Linked DNA regions of Mus musculus. The main gene of each other region encodes a partner of the protein of the gene in region 4 in a complex. Links are inferred from orthologs where the notes say so. Each region holds a gene or a part of one and is shown on either strand. Other genes may lie near its edges. The genes, in order: Cnot11, Cnot2, Cnot10 and Cnot6l.

Region 1 (5,843 bases), on a different chromosome or scaffold from region 4:
TTCATGGATCCCACTTGAGTCCTTGTTGGCTGCAGAGTAAAAGTGTTTACTCATGGACATCTTGATAGGATACTTGTCATCTACGAAATACATGCTCAAAAGCCACACAACCAACTTTTAGAAATAAATGCACACGTATAACCTCCCCCTAAATAATATAAACTCTAATATTTTTTCCTTTTTTGTAAATTATTTTATTTACATTTCAGCTGTTGCTCCCCCATCCCACTCCTACCCCCACCCCCAAGGTTCTGTGCCCCGCCCCACCTCCCCCCTTCCCAGAGGCCTCAAGTCTCTAAAGGATCGAGTGCATCTTCTCCCAGAGGCCAGACCAGGCAGCCCTCTGCTGTGTATGTGCTTGGATCAGCCATGGTACTGCTTGGTTGGTGGCTCAGTCTTCGGGAGCTCCCAGGGGTCGGGTTTAGTTGAGAACACTGGTCTTCCTATGGGTTGGTCCTCCCCTTCAGCTTCTTCAATCCTTCCTCTAATCCAACCATAGGGGTCCCCAACTTCAGTCCAATGGTTGGGAGTATCTGCATCTGGCTACTGTCATTTTAATTACATTTTTTATTTTGTGTTGGGCTGTGGCCATAGCTAACCTGAGCTACAAGACATGCCTATCAGCTGTGGAGCTTGTTGCCCACAGTAAGTCTTTGAAACTTGTCATTCTAAAACAGTGCTTTGTTCATGGGCTGTTGTTGGCCCAGTGCCATCTGTAAAATAGCAGTGGCCACTACAGAGCATTGAGAGGAGTCAGCTCTCTAGTTCAGAGGGGGTCACTCCCACAGGGGCGCAAGGATTATTGTTTCTTGTTCCTTCTCCACTGTTAGGAGATTGTAATTGTACAGTAAGACAAAATCACCAAGCTTGGCTTCCTTTAAGCCTTGCCGGATGTGGGAGAACAGATTCTGTCCCCATAAATCGGTTCTAGAGATATCTCCATAAAAGGAATTCTTCATAATTTCTTTAAATAAAATGGTATGTCAGACATTTTTTAAAAAGGCTGGATTTGGTGGTATACACCTTTAATCACAGCATGCAGAGGCAGAAGGATCTCTGATTTCAAGGCCAGCCTGCTCTACATAGTGAGCGCCAGAATTACATAGATGGACCCTGTCTTAAAAAAAAAAAATTAAGGCACACTGTCCCAGGTACTGACTCTTCTACCTCCTCACCAAACAGGCATCCTGGGTATACATTTCTGGTGTGCCAGCTCGTATTTGTCCTTAAGACCACAAAAACCACACCCTTACTAACTGTGGTTAAGAGAGAAGAATAAAATGCCAACTCTCGCAGCCTGGCAGAGTGCCCATGCTTGTCAGTGGGCCAGGAACACTGTTGTCAGAAATGTGCATCCTTGTTTCACACCTTGCTTACTAAGAGCCACGCTCACCGTAAATTCTCAGCGTCTTCACTCACTCTCACTGACCATGCTTCACACTAGAAGCTACGAAAGCAAATTCCTGGTTTTTCAGAAACCTACAGTTTGTTTTCTAAAAGAAACAGGTACTGTGTTTTAAATTCAAAAGAGCAACACCTACACCTTTCTTGCAATAACTATTTTCAGAATAACTATTCATATGGATTGTCATCAGCAAGAGAGCTAAAATAAACATTTCTCCCAAGTTCTCACCAAAATTCATCCATGGGAAACATCTAGGAAAAAGGAAATTTTACTTTAAGTAAATAAAGTCATTTATATTTCTTAGATCAAGCAATCCACTCAAGAGTTACAAGTTTAAAAACCAATCCAAATACAGTTGAACAATAGAAAGGGAAGTTCTAGTGAGGTATTATTTTGATATTTTGGTCTCTGAAGGCGTTTCCCCAGTATCCAGTGTCTTCAGCAACCGGAATAGGCCTGCAGCTTCCCGTATCCTACTAAATTCAATGCAGAAGGCCTGCACTTCTATAAACAAGTCCTGCACGTTAATAATTTTGTTACGGATCAAAGACTGGAGAAACACACACACAAGACGCACCAAACGATTCTGGAAAAGAAAAAAGGAACAAGTTTTAGAAACTTCTTTTCTTGGCAAATGACAATGTTATAAGCATTTACATTACTCACCTGCATATATTTATCCTTAATCTGTTCACAAGTAGAAATGCAATTGGATATGTATAGGTGAATAAATTCAGGAGGTAGGTCAACAGCTGTAGTTAGTCTGTTTCACAAAAGAAAAATCTGAGCTGTTAACTGTGTTTGCTAGTATTGGAAAGTACTGTAATCATGAAGTCAAGCCTTCCCTGTGATCATCTGATAATGATTTATATGACCCAATTCTCTAGTTTTAAACCCAAGAGCCACAGGCACTTAACCTCTGATGCTTCTGTTAAGTGTGCATCACGAATTATACTCTGAGATGATCCATTAAGCAGTTAGTATCCTATCCCTGAGCGTGCCTGGCTGGATCACTGTCAATCATGGTCTCCCTCCTTCCAAGCCTCAAATAACCAGCAGTTGTTGCCATCACTTAAAACTTAGAAAAGTCCTGTCAGTTTAAGCACTATGAGAGGCAGCGTGTCTGAGGTGACGTATAGACTAAACAGAACAACCTATAATCAGACTAACGTAGAGCTTTGAAGAAACATGAACCTGGCAAAAAGCCTTGAAAAGTTACTTAGCTGATATGGAGCAAAAAGGCCTTCCTGAGAACTGAGCAAGACAAACAGGCTTGGAGTCAGCCATTACACAGGAACAGCAGCTGTGTAATAAAGCTTAGAGTCATTGAAGCCAAGACAGTTCTTCCCAAACACGTAAGTGAAGTACTAAGATATGGAGTCAGGTAAGAATTCCACACTGAGTTTAAGTTCAGCCCAAGAAGCATTTCAACACTGGGCTGGCAACTGCAAACCTTTTGCTACAAGTGTGAAAAGGTAAATGAATACATGCTGCCTCTTCTACATCTATGCATCCTTAAACTAAGGCACTGAAGTACCTTAAGAAAAGCTACAACTGGGCTGGAGAGATGGCTCAGCCGTTAAAGGCTAGGCTCACAACCAAAAATATAAGAAAGCTTCAACCAAATCCCAGCACTCGGGAGGCAGAGGCAGGCAGATTTCTGAGTTCGAGGCCAGCCTGGTCTACAAAGTGAGTTCCAGGACAGCCAGGATTATATAGAGAAACCCTGTCTCGAAAAACCAAAACAAACAAACAAACAGAAAAGAAAGCTACAACCAGCCACCATACCCACTGAGACCTGCATCAGCAAGGCTGCTTAATACTTGGAAAAAGCCAGAACTACAAGAGTGCAGTGAGGGGGATCCATGAACACTCAGATTGCTCCATCCAAAGACAGAACTTAGCCAATGCAAAAAACAGCAACTGTGCCAGGCGATGGTGGCGCGCACGCCTTTAATCCCAGCACTTGGGAGGCAGAGGCAGGTGGATTTCTGAGTTCGAGGCCAGCCTGGTCTACAGAGTGAGTTCCAGGACAGCCAGAGCTATACAGAGAAACCCTGTCTCAAAAACAAAACACAAAAAAACCAGCAACTGCAACTATAGTAAAGGAGGTGCCAGCAAGGAGAGGTGGAAGCAAGCACCAAGTTTTCCACAAGAAGCCAGGCAGCTCTGCCAGTGACAGAGTCTTACAAAGTAACTGGAAACCCATGTGCCTTTCCTCGCCCAGCCCTTTCTTGTGCACAGAGCTACCAGCCAAGCTGTCACCAGATGACCAGACATTCCTTAGTTCAAGTTTGAAACAACTGCCAACTTATATATGGATGCTCAAAAAATTGTAACCTGGTTCATACCCATGATTCCAGCATTCAGAGAATGAGGCAGACAGGCTGCTATGAATTTGAAGCTACTAGGATACTATGAGATCCTATCCAAAAAAAAAAAAAAAAAAACCTCAAAAAAAATAATACCCCATCTACCTCTCACTACATTTAATTCACAATTTACCTAAACAATATCTGTAAGGAAAATAAAAGACAAAAACTATACAGAACACATCAACAGGGAATTCATTCTTTCCTTGATGTTTAATGAGCAAAATCAAGAAAGAACTGGGAAACTGGGTGTGCTGGTCCACATCTTTGATCCCAGCACTTGGGAGTCAGAAGCAGGTGGATCTCCATGAGTTTGAGGACAGCCTGGTCTACACAGTGAGTTCTAGGACAGTCAGGGCTCTACAGAACAACAAAGCCGGGAGAATACTAGTAATCACGACAGCATGCCTAGATGACCAGTTCTGAGACCCACACGCACAAGCTGCAACTCCTGGCTGCCAAGGAACATAAAACCTGAATTTGTAAGGGGCACGTGACAGTGAAGTAAATTCAACAACTGAGTTCTTATGAATTGAAATCAAATTCATATGCAGTGAACAGCAAAGATTAGTCAGGGTAACAGAATCAGGAAAGGGGAGAGAAACTACTCCAGCTTTTCAGACTTCTGGATCATATAATCAGGGCCTGTGTACCCGCTCTGGTGGGACATGAGAACTTACCGATTTACAACTTCCATTGAATGTAAGGACATGTCCATGTTGACCAGGACAGAGAAATACTCCGTGATCTGGCTTGACTGCATCAGTTTCAGCAGCATTTCTATAGCGACTAAAGGGTTGTTCTCCACTAGATCTGGAAGTTTCGCTGGAGTAAGGCCAATGTGATAAACAAGTTTGGGATCTTTTTCCAACTCACCGAGGAGCTAAAAAAGACAAGTTGAGAGGTTCTTGAGTTATGTTAGAGAATTTTCCTGTACACAAATGGAAATGTTTTATATAAATTACAAAAATTGTCTTTGTTAATTTGTTAAATTTCTTCCCTCAAAGCCAATACTATGTCTTCATATATTTTCAGATCTGAATTGCAATGGCACAAAAATAAGCGACAATTTAAAAATCTACTAGTCATTCTTCCTCTAGACGTGGTAAGCCTTGGTTTTGTCTAGTAATATACACTATGACAATAGTGTCATTCTTAAAGATCTTAATTACCAACTTCTCCCAAATCACACAACCAAGTTGATTGTGGTAGCACACAAATAATACAAGCACTGAGGCAGGAGTTGCCCGCCTTGGCTATGTAATGAGCTCAAGGCTATCTGAGATATATGGCAAGACCTTGTCTCCATTTTTTCTTTAAAAAAAAAAAAAAAAAAGCCACACAGAACTCCATAAACTAGAATAATTCAGAACAAGAGCCATGCTCTGTCTTACCCAGAAAGACAACAGAACTACTCTAGAGAGGGACAGAAGAGGAAGTCTTCTGTCTTCCACCTGTAGTACTTTACAGCACCAATCACACCCACGCTTTGCATCTAAGAGATGGGTGTACTGGCTAGTTTTGTGTCAACTTGACACAGCTGGAGTTATCACAGAAAAAGGAGCTTCAGTTGAGGAAATGCCTCCATGAGATCCAACTGTAAGACATTTTCTCAATTAGTGATCAAGGGGGAAAGGCTCCTTGTGGGTGGGACCATCTCTGGGCTGGTAGTCTTGGTTCTATAAGAGAGCAGGCTGAGCAAGCCAGGGGAGGCAAGCTAGTAAGGAACATCCCTCCATGGCCTCTGCATCAGCTCCTGCTTCCTGACCTGCTTGAGTTCCAGTCCTGCATCCTTTGGTGATGAACAGCAGTATGGAAATGTAAGCTGAATAAACCGTTTCCTCCCCAACTTGCTTCTTGGTCATGATGTTTGTGCAGGAATAGAAGCCCTGACTAAGACAGATGGGAAAACATTTTTTTTTCCTGTGTCCAAATACATACTTTTTCTTTCTTTTAAAAGTTCATTTATTTTGCTTTGCGTGGTGGCGCACGCCTTTAATCCCAACACTCGGGAGACAGAGGCAGGTGGATTTCTGAGTTCGAGGCCAGCCTGATCTACAAAGTGA
Region 2 (5,843 bases), on a different chromosome or scaffold from region 4:
AGATTCTGTGTCTAGTCTGCATAAAATTCTGGTTCTACAAGAACCACAACCATTCAAAACACTCAACTTACCACGCATGTCACTTCAGATAGCTGACATCAATTTTAAAATTCTTTTTATACTACAAAGATTATAAAGCTGAAATGTGCTCTCAAAATAAACAAAATTCATTTTACTAAAAATGAAAATAATTCAAATTCTTTTCTTTGTACTTTGTTGTTGTGATGACCCAGGAATAAAGCTAAGGTCTAGAGCTCCTAGCCAACAACATCCCTGCTAACAACTGAAATTTCATGGAATGGACAATCTTCAATTTAAAAAACACAATCCATAACCATCATTATTTAAAAACCTTCAGAATATCCAAGATATGCGAGAGGAGAAAGCGATAGGATATGTTGAACATACAGTTCTACCGCAGCTAAGAGTTGTAATACATCCCCGCCGTTCATGTAATACAGATAGAAGAGGAGGTCTTCTCCATATCGGCCAAGTTTGATTGCAGCCAGCTACAAAAAACAAATTACGCTAAGTTGTAAAACAAATGTAAAAATTTCAGAAAATAACTGTTACCACTAAAATAAAAATTGGAAGGATAAAGCGAAATCCTTCATTTAGCAGAGAAAACTAACATTTAAATAAACAAGGCTATCTGCTGACCCCAAGGCTAAAGAGTGAGAATGTGGAACCCCACGGAGTTCCAGCTACACAGGTTTGAAGCTGAAGCTTCATGCACAGTGGTTCACAGAGCATCTCTTTCTAGTGTATCACATAGGACTAAGCATAAAAATGAGAGACAGTACTCATATTTTGTTTAAATGAATGCCTAAAAGATAATCTTTTCACATTTCCTCCCACAAGGTAGAACACAGCCTACAAAACTCTAAACCTAGGATAAGTGTGATGGTCTTAGTTCTCATGTTCACCCAAGCACCTGCAGCTTCTACCTAACTAAACACAGGGCCTATCTGAGCCACGCCCAGTCAGTCACTTGGCTTTTCCACATGCCTGCCTCAGTGAGTGCAGCTCCCTCCCAGTGTGTTGTTACCCTACTCTGCTGGCCGCTGTGAATGCATGGAGTTCTCCGGTACTTTTCACACTGGCCTAAGAGGAGGCCTCAGGTCTACAGTACTGGTGTGACACATACAGTGGAAAAATATCGAATAACTTCAGAAAGGTGTTTGTGGGTTCTCCCATTAAAAACATTTTATGTGAATAACATCTCTTATAAGTAAGGGCATAAAATAAGAATGTCAGGAAGAGAATCACCAAATTTTCCAAGTTAATGTATTTCCATTCACTATGGTTACAATTATTAATTACAAGAAATATTTTATCATTCCTAACATTGATTTAAAAAAGACCTACAGCATATTAATAAAAATATTAATAAAAACAGAAATAAAATTGTTATGTGAATGGTATACAGACACATACGCCTAAGACTGCTAGTGGATTAGCATGCCGTCTGAACTGGAAGTGGTACCAAGATAATAGCTAAAATCGACGCCTGAGAATAGAAAGGTCTACTCACTCACCTTATCCCTAATGTGAATGTTTGTTAAATATTCTGATGGAACATGGAAGTCTGCATAATAAAACAAACAAAGGTGTTACTAACTGATACTTAGGAAATACCTTTTAAACAATTTTGAGCACAAATAGATTCTCCTACCTATGTCTTGAGGCCGACAAGGTGAAGAAGCCCAGGGTGATGCAAATTTGGGATAGAGATTTCTGAACAAGTAAAAAAGAAGCCACTTTAAAGAACAAAGTAGAAAACTGTATTTCTAACTTAATTTCAGGAAAATGGGAAAAAAAGAATTCAAATAAAAAAATAAGCATCCTTCTTGGTTCCCTTTCTTGAATTTACTGCAACTTTATAGCAGAAAAGTAACCCAAGAGCGCTTCGCTTCCTCTAGTGCTCACCAACAGAGTGTAAAGCACAGCAAGTCAGAATATACTTAGGTACAAAATGGAAATTGTCTACTTTAAATTAGCGGTAACTAACAATGCTCTAAGTTCATTTCTACACTACTCTCCAATTATAGTACTTTCCATGTCCACCTCACTCAAAGCCGAAATGAGGAGGAGCCAGATTTCGTATCACTGAACACGTATTGTGAGTGCCTATTCTATGTTCTGAATAAGTTAAGTGATAAAAACGAAGACTGCTGATATTGGAAAACTTACTTTCTGTAAAAGTGTATGGCTAACTGGACACTGGCAGATAATTAGCATAACAAATGAATAATACTGGTTATATAATTAAATAGGGTGATCAGTTTAAGTCCGATTTGACAAGCTTAGATGTAAACAAATATTCAAGGATATAAGAGCGATAATCACAGGTCAATAGCTAGTAGAACACTGTACTAGCCAAGGGGAATATTAGAACAACTGAGGCAGAGACAGCGTGACATGAGAGGCAGAGGAAGGCAGGGAAACACTTCCAAGGTGGAGTCAGAAGAAAGGCAGGATGATGTGAGCGTTGCAGGGCTGCCACTCAGGGAGGTTTAAATCAGAGCAACAAATCTGTACTTGGGGCTGAGCACAGAAAGAATTATCTTGAGTGCTACACAAAACCATACAAAAAGAGCAAACCAAGAATCCCTGCTGTGATATGCTGGCAGAATATTCAGGCAACAAACCAGGGTGGTAGCAACTTAATGAGACTATGATTGGATTCTGTATCTACTTGAAAGGACTGCATCTGAGAGAAAAGGAGAGACTAAGGATGATGTCGTTTCTGGAAGTATTAATGGAGATCAAAAAAGCATAGCCATGGTGTAGGTTTAACCCAAATCTTAAAAGAGATATTTAGCTAATAACGGCATCTAAAATCTCAAGTTCAAGAAAAAAAGTCTGCCATGGAAGTAGGTGTTTGGAATTTTCAATCTATGTGGTCCTTAAAAGCACAAGTCTAGATAAGATCATCAAGAAGACAATCCAAAGGTGATATGAGCAAGGGAAACTGAGGGATGAGCCAACGTTACCAGGTAAGAATGGTATCTTCAAAGTCAAGTGAGGAAGGAGCACCAAGAGAAAGTGGGGATGCTGCAGAGCGCTTACTGGAATCACAGGAACGGATTCCTCGCAACAGTGGATTCAGTAGAGTGAAAGAAGACAGGTTAGAAAAATGAGGATGACTCATTTGAGACGGTTTGCTTCCAAAAAAAAAAAAAGAATTAAGAATGAGGATAACTCAAAAGAGGTTGATCAAGATAATGTAATTTCAATACAAATAGAAAAATAAGTTTCTCTGTATTTGGCACTAGAAATGTGAAAAGAGAAATGCTGTAAGTTGGAAGGAAATCATGGCATGTATGTGGCTATAACATCATCACTCACACAGAAGCAGGAGTGCTTTAAGGAGCCACCTTGGACTACACTACACCAGCCAAGACCATTTCCAAAGTCCTGGGGGGAAGCGGGCTGAGGGTGTAGCTCGGGGGCACAGCACTTGCTTACTGTGTCCAACACTGGTTTGGATGCCAGCACCAGGAAAAGGAGAAAAAATTAAGACTCCCACTCATGAGTTTTGATGAAGTTTTAGTAGGAAGCATGGACCAAAGATTTTGGCAAGGTCATGTCAGATTTAGATTGGTGGCAGGTCATTAGATTTGGAGGCAGGACCAGGTTAATGTCCTCTTCTATCTGCTTACACCTGTCTTTGTAAAGTAGAAATAGAAGCCAGGTCATTATGAGAGCTACGGACAGGAGGAAATGCTATTCCTGGCTTGATGAAATTCAAAACAGTCACATAGGATAACAGCAGCAAACCAACCAACCAACCAACCAACCCAAACACATCCAAAAGCAAACAAAAGGTTCTGAAAGGATTATGTCATCAGGTAGAAATATGGCTGCTCAGGGCGGTGGCGGCGCACGCCTTGAATCCCAGCACTGGGGAGGCAGAGGAAGGAGGATTTCTGAGTTCGAGGCCAGCCTGGTCTACAAAGTGAGTTCCAGGATAGCCAGGGCTATACAGAGAAACCCTGTCTCGAAAAAAACAAACAAACAAAAAAACCAAACCAAACCAAACCAAACCAAAAACAAAAAACAAACAAAAAAAAAAGCAAACAAACAAAAAAAACAAAACAAAAGAAGTATGCCTGCAAAATTTTGGACTCAAGTTTAAGTTCTTGAGCATCAGTGTGCAGCAGGACCAGACAGTGAAATTACACTTTTCTGTAGTCCAACCAGAAGATGGTCAAGAATCAAACAAACAGATACAACAATGGGTACAGACTTTTAAGATGAGAAGTGAGAAGGGCAGACAGTCAAGCTTGCCTAAGTGAGCAATTATGATTCATCATAAAATTTAATGGTGAGAAGGATGTGAGCTCATCAAAGAGGAGGAGACAAGAACACCGAGGAAGACAGAGAGCTAGAGAATGAGAAGTCGCAATAGAATCAAATGATATAGAAGTCACAGCCACAAGAGAGGCATGGGAAACAGTGATAGTTAAAAAGCAAGCAACAAGGTAAACTTAGTTCCGAATAATGACAAGATCAATGGGCTGGATAAAGATGTGGCTTGGGGACTAACCCAAATGCCTTGTAGATGGATCCTTGGTATTTCTCAGTGATCTATGGGCTAGCTAGAAAGAACAGCCCAGGAGTATGCAGGCTGCTGATGAGATTAGCTACAAGTCTGAGGCTCTCTGTGGTGGCACAGGATACAGGATAACACCTATAATGCCTGCCTGGGTTACTCTGTCTTCAAAAGAAAAAGGTAACAGTATGAGAATCTATTACAGACTAGAAGATATGTACAAACATGGAGGGAAAAACTTACTCAGGTGAGTTCAGATTGAGGCCTAATGTTGTTAAGTCACTTCCTAAAGCAAGATGTACCATTCCTGGGTCTGTCTCTGCTGCCCTGATAAATGTTAACAGGCCAATCATTCCAAATTGGTCCGTCACCATCCCTTGAGGAATGTTAGTAACTCGACCTGGTTAAGAAAAACACAGTTATTTTTACTTTATATTAAGGAAAGTAGAGAAAACTGTACTTTCAAATATCTCTGACATATTTATGGAGTCCCACCATCAGGTAACACCTGGATCCCCTTTTTCTGTTGATTATTGTTTTGTGTTGTTGAACTTTTATCTCCAGGGAATTTGGGTCCATCTGTACTTGAAGTCGTCTTCCCCGATGTACTCAAATTCTAGCACGAAAAAAAAAAAAAAGCATGACATTAGATGTGCTAAATATCTAAGTTTAAATTCATCAACCCCTTGCTAGCCATCCACTATTATATCTAAATTAGTAGTAATTATCTGTTTTCTACTTGAAAATTGTCTCCCCATAACTGCCTCACGAAATACAAATAAATTCTGTGTCTACAAATGAGGCAAGAAACCTTGAAAAAATTAGCCTTTTCTTTTTTGTTTTTTTTAAATCTGTCATAGATCACAGGGGGTAAAATATGAAAAATATCTGTCTTTCTTGGGGTTTTATGCTTTGTTGATGCACACTTCTATATAAAAAGAGTAATTACATATTACAGTACTAAAAATATTACCAAAGAAACCTCAAAGGTAAACTAGGAATATATGACCTTGCAAAACTTATACTTATTTCCATCCTTACCCATCAAACATACAGAAAAACAAAAAACAAAAAACAAACAAAAAAACCAGCTCTCTGCCATGAATGTTGGAAGGAATAAACACACTTTAAATCAGAAGCTGAGGTCGCTGAATCAACACAGGTATTAAAATGTGCATAGAGATTCTTCAAGGAGAAAACTTACTCAAGAAAAAGAGAGCTCCTTAGAAGTCTATATAACCAAACGTCATGGGGTCCAGCTGACAGGGACTACAATAAAAGTCTA
Region 3 (5,843 bases), on a different chromosome or scaffold from region 4:
ATATTTTTAATCAGAGGTCGGCTGAATCCCTGGATGGGAACTCACAGACAAGGCTGAGGAGCAATTCTCTAGGAAGCAGACATGAGCTAAAATAAAAAGGAGACAAATGCCCTCTTCTGGACATTCTGACTCATGGCAATGAGTAGTGTGCTTCCTTAGGGTCTGTCTGTATCCACAGAAGCTCTAAATCATAATTACAGTAGACAGACCAACTCACTACAGACTCACTCAGTTTGGGCCTGTTTAATGATGTAGCAATAAACTGTCACCACAAAGCAATTCCTCCTGTGAAACGGTCAAGCCCAAGCTACTGCCCACTAAAAGCACGGCACCGACAGTGTTGTTACAGAGACACACTGGCTCATGGCAAAATACTCACTTGTAGACAGTGTTCTGAATTGACTGTGATGCCAGAACTATTTTACGGTGATATCCCTGACCAACAATAGACTGTACAATGCCTTTTTTGGTGGGAAGACCTTTAGTTTCTTGCTCAGAAGTCTAGAAAACAAAAAATATTTAAGATAAAATGTAAAGAAACAGTAAAAATGGCATAAAATATGGTCAAATAATTTACAAGTATTATGGCCTTTTTTTTTTTTTTTAAAGATTTCTTTATTTCTGAGTACACTGTAGCTGACCACTAGAAGAGATTATCAGATCTCATTAGAGATGGATGTGAGCCACCATGTGGATGCTGGTAACTGAACTCAGGACCTCTAAAAGAGGTTAGTCAGTGCTCTTAACCTCTGAGCCATCCCTCCAGCCCCAGTTATTATGTTCTATAATGTATTTATTTTATGTACACAAATGTTTGCCTGTTGATATGAATATGTACCACGTGTGCACCTGGTGCCTGTGGAAGCTGACGAGGGCTTGGATCCCCTGAACTACAGGCAGCTGTGTACCACCATGTGATTACAAACCTACCCTAGGTTCTCTGCAAGAGAAGCAAGTGTCCACCTCTCCAGCACCAAATTTTAGAATTAAGAATTTGTGTTTGTGTGTGTATGAGACAGGATTTTGTTCTGTAGCTCAAGCTGGCCTCAAACTTTCAATCCTTCTGCTTCAACCTCCTGTGTGCTAGGATTACTATCATAGCCACTTTGTGAAACTACATTTCCCCACCCTCCCAACCCCTGCACTGTGTATTTGTGTATGTGGTACATATGTGCCTGGTTTTGAATCAGAGGCCTGGGGGTAACATACAAAGATGTGCTAGATTTTTCTCCTATTTGTTTATCGAGGCAGAGTCTCTCAACAGAACTGTGGCAGTTTGAATAGGTTTGGCCCCCATAGACTCATGTGCTGAATGCTTGGCCACAAGGAGTGGCACTATTAGGAGATGTGGCATTGTTGGAGTGGGTGTGGCTTTTGTGGAGGCTGGCTTTGAGGTAATATATGCTCAAGCTCTGCCCAGTGTGGTACAGAATCTTCTGCCTGAAGCCTTTTTTTTTTTTTTTTTTTTTAAAGATTTATTTATTTATTATATGTAAGTACACTGTAGCTGTCTTCAGACACACCAGAAGAGGGAGTCAGATCTTGTTACAGATGGTTGTGAGCCACCATGTGGTTGCTGGGATTTGAACTCTGGACCTTCGGAAGAGCAGTCGGGTGCTCTTACCCACTGAGCCATCTCACCAGCCCCTGCCTGAAGCCTTTTGTAAAAACTTTTTTAAAAACTAAAGTACAGAGGCTGGAAAGATGGCTCAGCGGTTAAGAGCACTGACTGCTCTTCCGAAGGTCCTGAGTTCAAATCCTAGCACCACATAGTGGCTCACAACCATCAGTAATGAGATCTGATCCCCTCTTTGGAGGTGTCTGAAGACAGCTACGGTATACGTAATATAATAAATAAATTTTAAAAAACAAACAAACAAAACCCCCCTGAAGTACAGAAGAGCTGGCTCAGTCGTTTAGAGCACTCGCTGCTCTTGCAGAGGAATCCCAGTGTTTCCAGCAACCCACACAGCAACTCAAGTTTCAGGGGCTCTGATGACCTTTTCTGGCCTCTGCAGGCTGCGCACGAATGTGGTGAGCACATACACAAGCAGGGAAAACACACTATCCATAAAAATAAATCTTAACAAGGAAAACCCCAAGCATAGAGCTAAAGAAGCAGCTCAGAGGGTGAGTACGTTCCTGTTATGAACAAGGCTCTGAGTTTGAACCAGCACTCGTCCATATGTGTGCATGCCTGCCCTGGCTCTCTCCTCTCCCTCCCCCTTCTAACTTTCAATACATCATCAAAGTCTTCCGAGAGCATTAGTCCCCTCTCTGCTGCATTCACGTCAACTTCTGAAACCCTGGATGTGAAACTGCCCCGCACAGGCTTCTTCTAAACCCTTGGCTCTTTCACCTGCTGCTCATCAGAAAATGCTGCTCAATAATGAGCCTCAGTATCCTTCGTAGCCTATGTCAGACAAGTGTGCCGGGCAAGCCTTAGGAAGCCAACTGCTCCACCCCTCACAAACCAAGGGAAGAGAGGTGAGGGGAACTCAGACACCTGGTAATTCTTATTTCACCCAATTCACACCGACCCCGCTCAGCCAGAGACTCAGGAGGCTGCTACCGACCGAGAGAGAACAGCTCAGGGCAGCCCAGTTTCAGACACTGAGGACCGGTGTGTCCGAGAAGATGCATGACTGTCACGTGCCTCACTGGAGGGAGTGCTGTTTAATGCACTCCTGTGCACACTCCATCAGAGCCAGGTGCTCTGACCCCTGGGACAGAGCCCACCCTCCTGCTTACAGACGGCACAGCGCAGCCCTAGCAGGAGCCACCACGCCTCACTGTTCTGACACAGACTCCTCACTGGCATCAACCTTTGCCAAGAATTACAGCTAAGCAAGTGACTGTGAGCAGAAGACTTACATTCAGTGGCAGTGAAAATGGAAATGAGGTCTTAGATTCCCAGGTTTTTTTTTTTTAAGTTATTTATTTATTATATGTGAGTACACTATAGCTGTCTTCAGAAACACCAGAAGGGGGCGTCAGATCTCATTACGAATGGTTTCAGACACCATGTGATTGCTGGGATTTGAACTCTGGACTTTCAGAAGAGCAGTCAGTGCTCTTGACCGCTGAGTCATCTCTCCAGTCCCAAGTATCTTCTGCTTTCCATGTACCAAGTGTAGAAGAGGAGAAACAGAGACTCAAAGAGCTACTCAAGCAGCACTCACCCCTTTATTGGCAGCAATGCAGCACTCAGCCAGCCGTAGCCAGAGACGAGGATTCGCGTGGTACACCTGAACAGCTTCAATCAGACACTCGAAGGCAGCGAGAGGCCTCCCGACGTGCAGCAGCTGGATCCCACAGTTGTAGAGCAGCTCATATCTTTTGTTGGTCAGCAATGTACACATGGGTCTTCCAGAAAACTTTTTGCCTTGTGATAAAATGTGGAGAATAGACAAGTAAACACTTCCATATTTAGTACCAGTGACTCCAATGTGACACTGTAATGGTTCTCTCTGAGGTGGTTTCTCCATGCCTAGCTCCCCAAGTACTTGACACTCATGTCAGATGTCTGTACTAGGAAGGACACAAATGCCCAGGATTGGGCCAGCTCTTCTGGCAGTGTTGCTTCAGGGAGGCAAAGAGCTGAGTGAGTCACTGGCTTTCTGAACTACAGCACCTTGCCCTCCTTCAGACCGCTTGGCCACTTTGTTACCATATGCTACACTTTCTCAGTGACTCAGAGTCTACAAGACTACCACTTGCCATTTAAAATACATTTTTCATCACTTAAATAGGTGTTTATGGTTTTAAAAATTACAAAGATGCTTGATTTTAAATTCTGATCAAAGATCCATATAATCTGAACGTAAATGACAAACTTCAGCAAGTTTCTTTAAGGCTTTTTTTTTAAGATTTATTTATTTGTTTATTTGTTTGTTTATTTTATGTGAGTACACTGTTACTGTCTTCAGACACACCAGAAGAGGGCATCTGATCCCATTACAGATGGTTGTGAGCCACCATGTGGTTGCTGGGAACTGAACTCAGGACCTCTGGAAGAGCAGTCAGTGCTCTCAACCACTGAGCCATCTCTCCAGCCAGCTTTAAGGCTCTGAGATGCCACCAAAACATCACTTGTGAAGTTCTGCCAACAATTTATAATATTAGCCCACAGTCAAGAAATCCTAATGACTAATCAGAACTGGATGGCATACCACTCAGGACTACTGATTCAAGTCCATAACAAACTGAGGGTAATGTAATGTTTTGGTCTTTTCTTTTTTTCTGCTATGTCTATGTGTTTTCGTGTGTGTGTGTGTGTGTGTGTGTGTGTGTGTGTGTACACATGTGGAAGCCCAAGCTTGAGGTCGAGAATCTTCGTCAGTCATCCTTCTGTCTTATTCTTGCAGGCAGGACCTTTTCATTAAGCTGCAGCTTCCCGAATGAGCTGGTCAGCTTGCTCCAGGACCTCTCACCTCTGCTCTCTGAGGCCGGAATTACTCTCCCACTGGATGACTGCTATTCCTTTGATTAGGACATCTTGTCTCATCCTCCAAGCCCTGAATGTATCACCCACGCCCAGATCCCTCCCCGACACTTGCTATTTCAACCACGTGTGTCAAGGAGGACACTGCAGGTCCCCAGTGCTTGTTCACCTGGATCAGTGCCACCCGCACTGAGCTGGGCGCAGACGTTGTCATTTTCCTGCAGAGCCTTCTTGAAGTAGAAAATCCCCAAATTGTGCTTGCTCATGGCAAAATGGATACAACCAAGGTTATTCCAGAACATGCATCTCAAGCATTCACCTGGAAACAACACAAACTACTTTACACACATAATCTGTTTTTTGCAGTCTCTCAAGTAGACAGCAGACCTAGTTGCTGTCAGTTAGCTAACCTATTTGGAAAGTCAGTTAGTCCCCACAGGACAGTTCATGAGGCACAGGGCAAAGCTGAGTGAAACCCTGTTTTGATGGATTTCTAAAACAACCCTGATACTTTTTTATTGATCTTATTCTTTTTAACGAGTGATAAAACACAGTAACTTAATATATATGCCACACATCCACAGTGAAATCCTGTGCAAACTGTAAACCGTGAAGCACCTAAACATGGGAGCTAGAGTTCAGCTCAATGGTAGAGCTGGCTTAATATGTACAAGGTCTTAAGTTGAACACACACACACACACACACACACACAGAAGCAGCTAGAATACATTAAGTGAAGAATAGCAGGGAGAATGTATGCGGTACAACAGAGACTACAAAGCCTGCTTTCTCTTAAGCCTCAGTGTCCACTCTACTCCATCTATCCACCTACCATCCATCATACTAACAACCACCTCGGACAGGACCTTGTGCAGAAAAGGCTGACCTCATCTGAACTTTCTGCAGTTGAAAATGACCTTCTAATTCTCTTGCCTCTACCTCCCACAGTGCAGGGATCACAGGCAGGATCCCACACCTGGTTTGTGTGGTGCTAGGGATGAAAGCCAGGGCTTTGCATATGACAGTGAACTCTACTATCTGGTAGGACCCTGGCACTATTCTCATTGTGAGAGGGTCTCACACTGGTCCTGGTAGCCTACAACTCACTAAGGAACTGAGGCTTGCTTGGCAATCTCTCTGCCTCAGCCTCCAGAGTTCAGAGATTGCAGGTGTCATCTGCCATACCCAACTGGGCATTCTTTCTTTGTTTTTTAAAAAATCTATTTTCAGACACACCAGAAGAGGGAATCAGATCCCATTACAGATGGTTGTGAGCTACCATGTGGTTGCTGGGAATTGAACTCAGGACCTCTGGAAGAGCAGTCAGTGCTCTTTTTTTTTTTTTTTTTGGTTTTTCGAGACAGGGTTTCTCTGTATAGTCCTGGCTGTCCTGGAACT
Region 4 (5,843 bases):
AGTATATTCCCATGTCATCCATGGAACACTTCAATTTTTAAAAGAAAAGGAAGTCCTGCTGTTCATGTTCAGAACAAGATGTTCCTTGATGAACTGATGGCAACGGCTCATTGTGGTTACTCCCCTTTTGTTTATTTCCTGATCATTTTGTCTACTTGTAGCTATTGCCTTTACCTCTATTTGACTTTCTGTCATTTTCAGAATGAGTTGTATATCTTGTTCTATCCTAAAAAATACATATATAGAGGAAGTTGTTTAGTATACAAAGCTTAGAGAATTTATAATATAATACAAAAGGGAAATATTAAATAGGCTCATTCACATTTTCAATAACCTTTTTCCTTTTTTGTTCTGTTTTATTTTTTGAGACTGGGTTTCTCTGGGTAACCCTGGCTGACCAGGAACTGACTATGTAGACCAGGCTGGCTTCAAAATCATAGAAATTAACTCCCTTTGCCACCTGTGTGCTGGGATTAAAGGTTGAAACCACCGTGCCAGCCTCCTTTTTTCATTTTTTTATTCTTTTGAAACCAAGACAGGAGGAAGAAAGATTTGTGTTTTGATATTAGTCAGCTTTAATAGAAATGGGACAAAAACTGCTTAGAAGTTAATATAGTTTTACTAGTACATAAATCTATCCGCTTATAGCTTGCATTGTTTTGGTCACTCATACATGGTGATGCACAGTTAAGCATTTAACTAGCTCTCTGGGGTAAATAAGCCTTGATTGGTAGTGTTTTCTGTGGATTATGTGCTTGTCCGATCTGATGTGATACGTTTGTTCACATTGTTGCGAAAGGTATTGTTCAAGTTAGAAATCACCAGCTCTAGTATTTTGTAGAAGTTGAAAGAAATACTTCTGAACTTAACTTAGTGATATATAGTTTAAATCCTATGTTTATAATTATAATATATAATATTGCAAACATAACCCAGAAGAACTAATAAAAGCTCTCCAAAATACGTGTTCAGTAACTAGCTGTTATTATTGTCTTAGTATACAGTAGGTTAAGAGAAAATATTACTTTTTCCATACTTTTTAGATTCTTACTTTTTAACTTGTCCATAAACTATTAGAAAAAAAATTGGCATATTAGTTTAAGCCTTGATTTTCTGAGCTGGTCTAAAATCACTATTTCTTTAACATATCTTCAATGCATCAGGTGTTATAGCACATACCTGTAATCTCAGCATGTGATAGGGTGAGGGTCTTGAAGTCAAGCCTAGCTGGATTACATAGCAAGGCCTTGTTACATTAAATGAATAAATGAATAAATTTCACATGTAGAAATACTTCTTTCTGCTTGAGTATGGGCTCTTTGCTATAGTTAAATACTAGGTTAAGTGAAGTCTATGCAGCTTGGATTAGTGAAGGCACATTAGTTTTGCTATTTACTAATCCCATAAATTAAATCATCTAGCTCTGGGAAATAGAATAAATGTTATAATACAAGTATGTGTCTGCATGTGCATGTCTCTTCCTGCTAATGGATATTTTGCTTCAGTCCAGAACTTGTAGAAATGAATATTTTGAAGTAAATAAATTTAGACAGTTAACTGTATAGTATGTTAGACTTTACTAAACCAAGAAAGTCTTTTAGAGGTGCCTAGACATACATTTGTGTGTTTAGCATTTTTGTTTTATAATTTATGTACAAATGTAAAACTTTTTGATGCAGTAAGATGCTGTGTTTCTTTATTGAGCCACGTTTATTCATATAATAACCCATCAAACATTAGAGCCTTGTTGAATCTACAGTCAGAGTAACAGGTATCGGGAATTACAGGTTTTCTTATTTAGATTTTTCCAAAGAAAAAATTGTTCTTTTCATGGAGTTTTTCTCTTTTTAAACATATTTTCCTTTCCCCTTGTGTTCTCCCTAATCTCTTTCCAGGGTGTGATTGACTACATTTTCTATTCCAAGACTCATATGAACGTGCTTGGTGTCCTGGGGCCTTTAGATCCTCAATGGCTGGTTGAGAACAACATCACTGGGTGTCCACACCCTCACATCCCTTCAGACCACTTCTCACTGTTAACACAACTTGAACTCCACCCTCCACTCCTGCCTCTTGTCAATGGTGTTCACTTGCCTAATCGGAGGTAGTGGAGTACAGCCCCGCAGAGACGGGGATCTGTCGCTATGGACCTGTACAGTTGTAAATCAAAGTATGTAGGAGTGAAGTATGGCCATCTTTAACGCTGCTTCTTCAGGTTCCTTTCACTATGTGTTTGCTATAAGACTGTATATTTTTGTGCATACTGATATCATTTGGCACTAGGGCTGGAACCAAAGTATTGCTGTCTGTCTCTATCCAAAAGTTTAATACACTTTAAAATTGGATTTATTTTCCTATTATATTAGGAACCAACATTCACGATTGATAAATCACTAATTTGAGACCCCACACCATTGTTGTTCTCTAAAAACAAATACATTCTTTTGAATGTTTTCAAATAAGCCAATCATTTTTGTAAAAGGTGATTTAAAAAAAAAAAAAAAACTCCAAATACAAGATTTTCAATTGAATGATGGTATGCCTTATAGGAAAAACTTTGAGTTTCTGTTTTCTTTCATAACAAGCTGATTTTTGGCTCTCAAGTCATTTGCACATTATCAAAGCACTTAAATTTGCTTGATTTGTACATTAAATTTGATATAGCCACTAGCTATAACAAGACAATTCGGGAAATGAAAGACAATTGCATAACATGCTTTAAAATCAAGCATAGTATGTGACAGTTTGTTGGCCAAATGCTGGTTGTTTTGTTTGAGGAATCTTTTCTCTTCTCTTCTTTTTTCCTTTTCCTTTTCCCTTTCTCTTTTCTCTTTTTTCTTTTCTTGTCTGCCTGTTAGTCCTAATCTCTTTAGAAGTATTAACTTTAAGCCCATCTCTCAAGTTCATTTATAAGGAAATAGCAGATAATACTGCCATATATCTTGAAAGTAAAATTTGGTATTTTTAGGATGCCCACAAAATTAGTGTCTGGTATTTTTCATTTTCGTGCCCAAACTTTTATTTTCTGTCCGGTTGTACTGGAAAAATATGATCTATATCTTTACCACTACAGTTTAACACTTAAGGAAAATTGCTGAATGAAAAGCCCCTGGTCAGTTTCAGAAAGGGCAAGCCAGATAATATTATACGTGTTTTCCAAAGTAAGTAAAATGGCTGTTTGTTTGTTGTTTTGGTTTTTTTTGTTTCATTTTAAGGTAACAGTAGAGATGATTTAGAGGAAAGGACAGATTTGGGGACATAATTGAAAACCTTGGATCACTTTTTTCTGACTCTAGCTGCCAAATGGCCATCATATGCTTTTAATCTTCGTTGCCATACTGTCTAGATTTGAATTAAGCTACTGTTTTATTCCCAAAGTTTGATGCCTCTATATGTATTGGGAAACACCACCACCACCACCATTTATTGTTGGCCAGGAGGTGCCACTTGAGAATCTTACGTAAGAGGCAGAGAGCATAAACACCATTTGTGGGGAGAAAATTAGTTGGCAAAATTAGAAAATGTTAATTATGGCACAGTAACATTGGAAAAGGTTGTGTCTGTGTTTTTAAGTTTTTCTTTATTCTGCTTTTTTGCTGCTATAAGAGTTTTCTGAAATTTATATTGTAAACTTTTCATGCACTTTACTGTTTCTAGTATCAAAATGTGATATTTTTAATAAACAAGAAATTTTCCATTATGTGATGAAATTTAAAAAGAAAATAACCTATATTTGTGTCTCACTAATATATAAAGTACAAGTCAAATTTAAATTATTTAATTAGCTTTAAATATATACAAATTGTCTCCTCTTCCAAACCTGACCTCTTAGGCTGTTTTATTAGTCTTAAATGATACATTTCCTGTGGTCATTTTATACTAATTTCTTCCATAGTTTACTGATCAGGCTATATAAAAGAATATTTCCCGAAGGGTAATTTTAGTGGGATGAGGGTGGTGGGGTGATGTAATATCACGCAGGATTGCATCCAGAAGAGCTCTGTAAAGCCTAAACTCCCTTTAAAAAGTGCCTAGTGACAGAGGCGTTGTCATCTATTGTAATTGGAATGTCATTGTAGTTCAGCAAAGTTTGATGTAAATAAAATATTCTTTTAAAAATGTTAAAGTACCTGAATAAACAAACAAAAGAAACCCTTGATGACAGATTTTCCTCAGTGTTCAGGTATCCCTTCTTATATACCTCAAGCATCCAACATCTAGCCATGAAGATTGATTACCTGACGCATAGTACTGGAAAGTAGAATAGCATGAAAAACTTAACTGTGTGGACATTACCTTTTTCTGTAATCAGCTACTGTCTGTTTAGTTTTCTCCTGTTTCGGGTGGGCTTTCTTCTCTGGAGGTATGTGCACTAACAGAACATCCTTCTTTTTTTCATAGATGCATGTTAACTAGCAATGTGAGCAATATTTCCTACCATACTTCACTCCCAATATTTTTGAGATGTTTGTATAAAATGAAATTTAAAGTTCACTTATGATTGTATATGAACCACAGAGGAGCCCATTTATTAATACAAATCTTTTTTAATAGTTAAATGTAGAGGGGGAAAATAAAAAAATGGGAAACATTGTAAACAGCTTAAGTTTATTTTGTGTATGATCGAGGCACTCTGTTGCAAGAAGGTGTGTAATTGGGTCTCTCTGCTTCCAAATGCACTCTTTCAAACCATTCATTATCCTGTGTATTTTAATGTGGTTTTCGTAAATGTTGGTAGTAGCTCTGTTGAAGTAGGTGATTGTGTTTTGTTTTGGGTGGCACACACCTAGGGCATGGTATCCCAAATTTCATGTGCACGGTTTCCCTTTAGCCTCTTGCCCAAATTTAACACACTGTTTCCCCTCGTTCCCTTTGTAAAAGGAGTGGTATCTTGTTTTGAGCTGCCAGTTCAGATGATCAGAAATGCTGCTGTCCTCAGCATTGTCTTGTTAAATGCATGCCATTTGGAACTTTGGCAGTGAGAAGCCCAAAGGACAAGGTGAATGACGTGATATATATTCGATAAAAGTGAAATATATATACTCATATACTTTCTAGTTCTCAGAATAAGTTAATAAGCTTTATGCCTTTGGGCTGCTGCATATTTTATCTGATAAGAGAAAATTTGGGCATTTTTAGATTGTGCTATGTATTTTTTTAAATGTTCAATATGATTTCTGGTAATTGTCTTAAGAACTGGAGTGTTAAGTTTATTAAAATGGTGTTGTTTGAAGAAGGGGAAACTGCACTGTTTGCCATTATAAAAGTAATACAAGTGCATGTCCCGTCACCCACTGTCAGGCATCAGTATCCTCATAGCTTTACACACTCTGATGGGGAATATTGCAGCATTCTCAGGACTGACATCTGGAAAAGGCTCAAATCACTTACTGCTCCTTGCTTGTTGACTTTGTTTTACAATATTGTGCCTGGTGTCAACTTTTAAGCAACAGCACTGCCTAAAAGCAAGCAGAGAACAGAATCCCAGCACCATTCTATAGGCAACTTTTTAGAATTCAGATACAGTAAATCTGTTCAAGATTTATGATGTTTTATGTAAAAAAAATTTTGTACTACATAGCTGAATATTTTTGTTTGATTTATTTGATGTAAGGCGTGTGAACATTCATTTGAATATCACATGTTAAAGTCAGGTATGGCACAATGGGCTCTGAGACCAGCTTCCCCCCGCACCCCCCCCCCATTTGCCTTGTTCTAATCTCTTTCTTTTCAAATTGCATTTCTGGTATTCATAAGCAGATATTTAATTTTACTAATAAGCATCCTGTGTGAATGTACTTTAAAAGCCACTATGTTTTAGTGTTATGGTTTGTAGAATTATG

Evidence for each region.
Region 1: Cnot6l (region 4) and Cnot11 share a complex: the UniProt entries of both Homo sapiens proteins name them as parts of the CCR4-NOT complex. The link is inferred for Mus musculus from reciprocal best matches to the Homo sapiens genes CNOT6L and CNOT11.
Region 2: Cnot6l (region 4) and Cnot2 share a complex: the UniProt entries of both Homo sapiens proteins name them as parts of the CCR4-NOT complex. The link is inferred for Mus musculus from reciprocal best matches to the Homo sapiens genes CNOT6L and CNOT2.
Region 3: Cnot6l (region 4) and Cnot10 share a complex: the UniProt entries of both Homo sapiens proteins name them as parts of the CCR4-NOT complex. The link is inferred for Mus musculus from reciprocal best matches to the Homo sapiens genes CNOT6L and CNOT10.

The regions. Positions count from the first base shown.
Region 1 is NC_000067.6:39,541,217-39,547,059, reverse strand, and holds the end of Cnot11 (CCR4-NOT transcription complex subunit 11), read right to left. Parts: intron 4,661-5,843; coding exon 4,458-4,660; intron 2,169-4,457; coding exon 2,072-2,168; intron 1,992-2,071; coding exon 1,794-1,991; 3' UTR 179-1,793; downstream 1-178. UniProt on the Homo sapiens protein: Component of the CCR4-NOT complex which is one of the major cellular mRNA deadenylases and is linked to various cellular processes including bulk mRNA degradation, miRNA-mediated repression, translational repression during translational initiation and general transcription regulation.
Region 2 is NC_000076.6:116,493,285-116,499,127, forward strand, and holds part of Cnot2 (CCR4-NOT transcription complex subunit 2), read right to left. Parts: intron 5,175-5,843; coding exon 5,054-5,174; intron 4,959-5,053; coding exon 4,802-4,958; intron 1,738-4,801; coding exon 1,676-1,737; intron 1,589-1,675; coding exon 1,539-1,588; intron 510-1,538; coding exon 409-509; intron 1-408. UniProt on the Homo sapiens protein: Component of the CCR4-NOT complex which is one of the major cellular mRNA deadenylases and is linked to various cellular processes including bulk mRNA degradation, miRNA-mediated repression, translational repression during translational initiation and general transcription regulation.
Region 3 is NC_000075.6:114,614,610-114,620,452, forward strand, and holds part of Cnot10 (CCR4-NOT transcription complex subunit 10), read right to left. Parts: intron 4,764-5,843; coding exon 4,614-4,763; intron 3,386-4,613; coding exon 3,183-3,385; intron 502-3,182; coding exon 380-501; intron 1-379. UniProt on the Homo sapiens protein: Component of the CCR4-NOT complex which is one of the major cellular mRNA deadenylases and is linked to various cellular processes including bulk mRNA degradation, miRNA-mediated repression, translational repression during translational initiation and general transcription regulation.
Region 4 is NC_000071.6:96,073,445-96,079,287, reverse strand, and holds part of Cnot6l (CCR4-NOT transcription complex subunit 6-like), read left to right. Parts: intron 1-1,895; coding exon 1,896-2,108; 3' UTR 2,109-5,843. UniProt on the Homo sapiens protein: Has 3'-5' poly(A) exoribonuclease activity for synthetic poly(A) RNA substrate.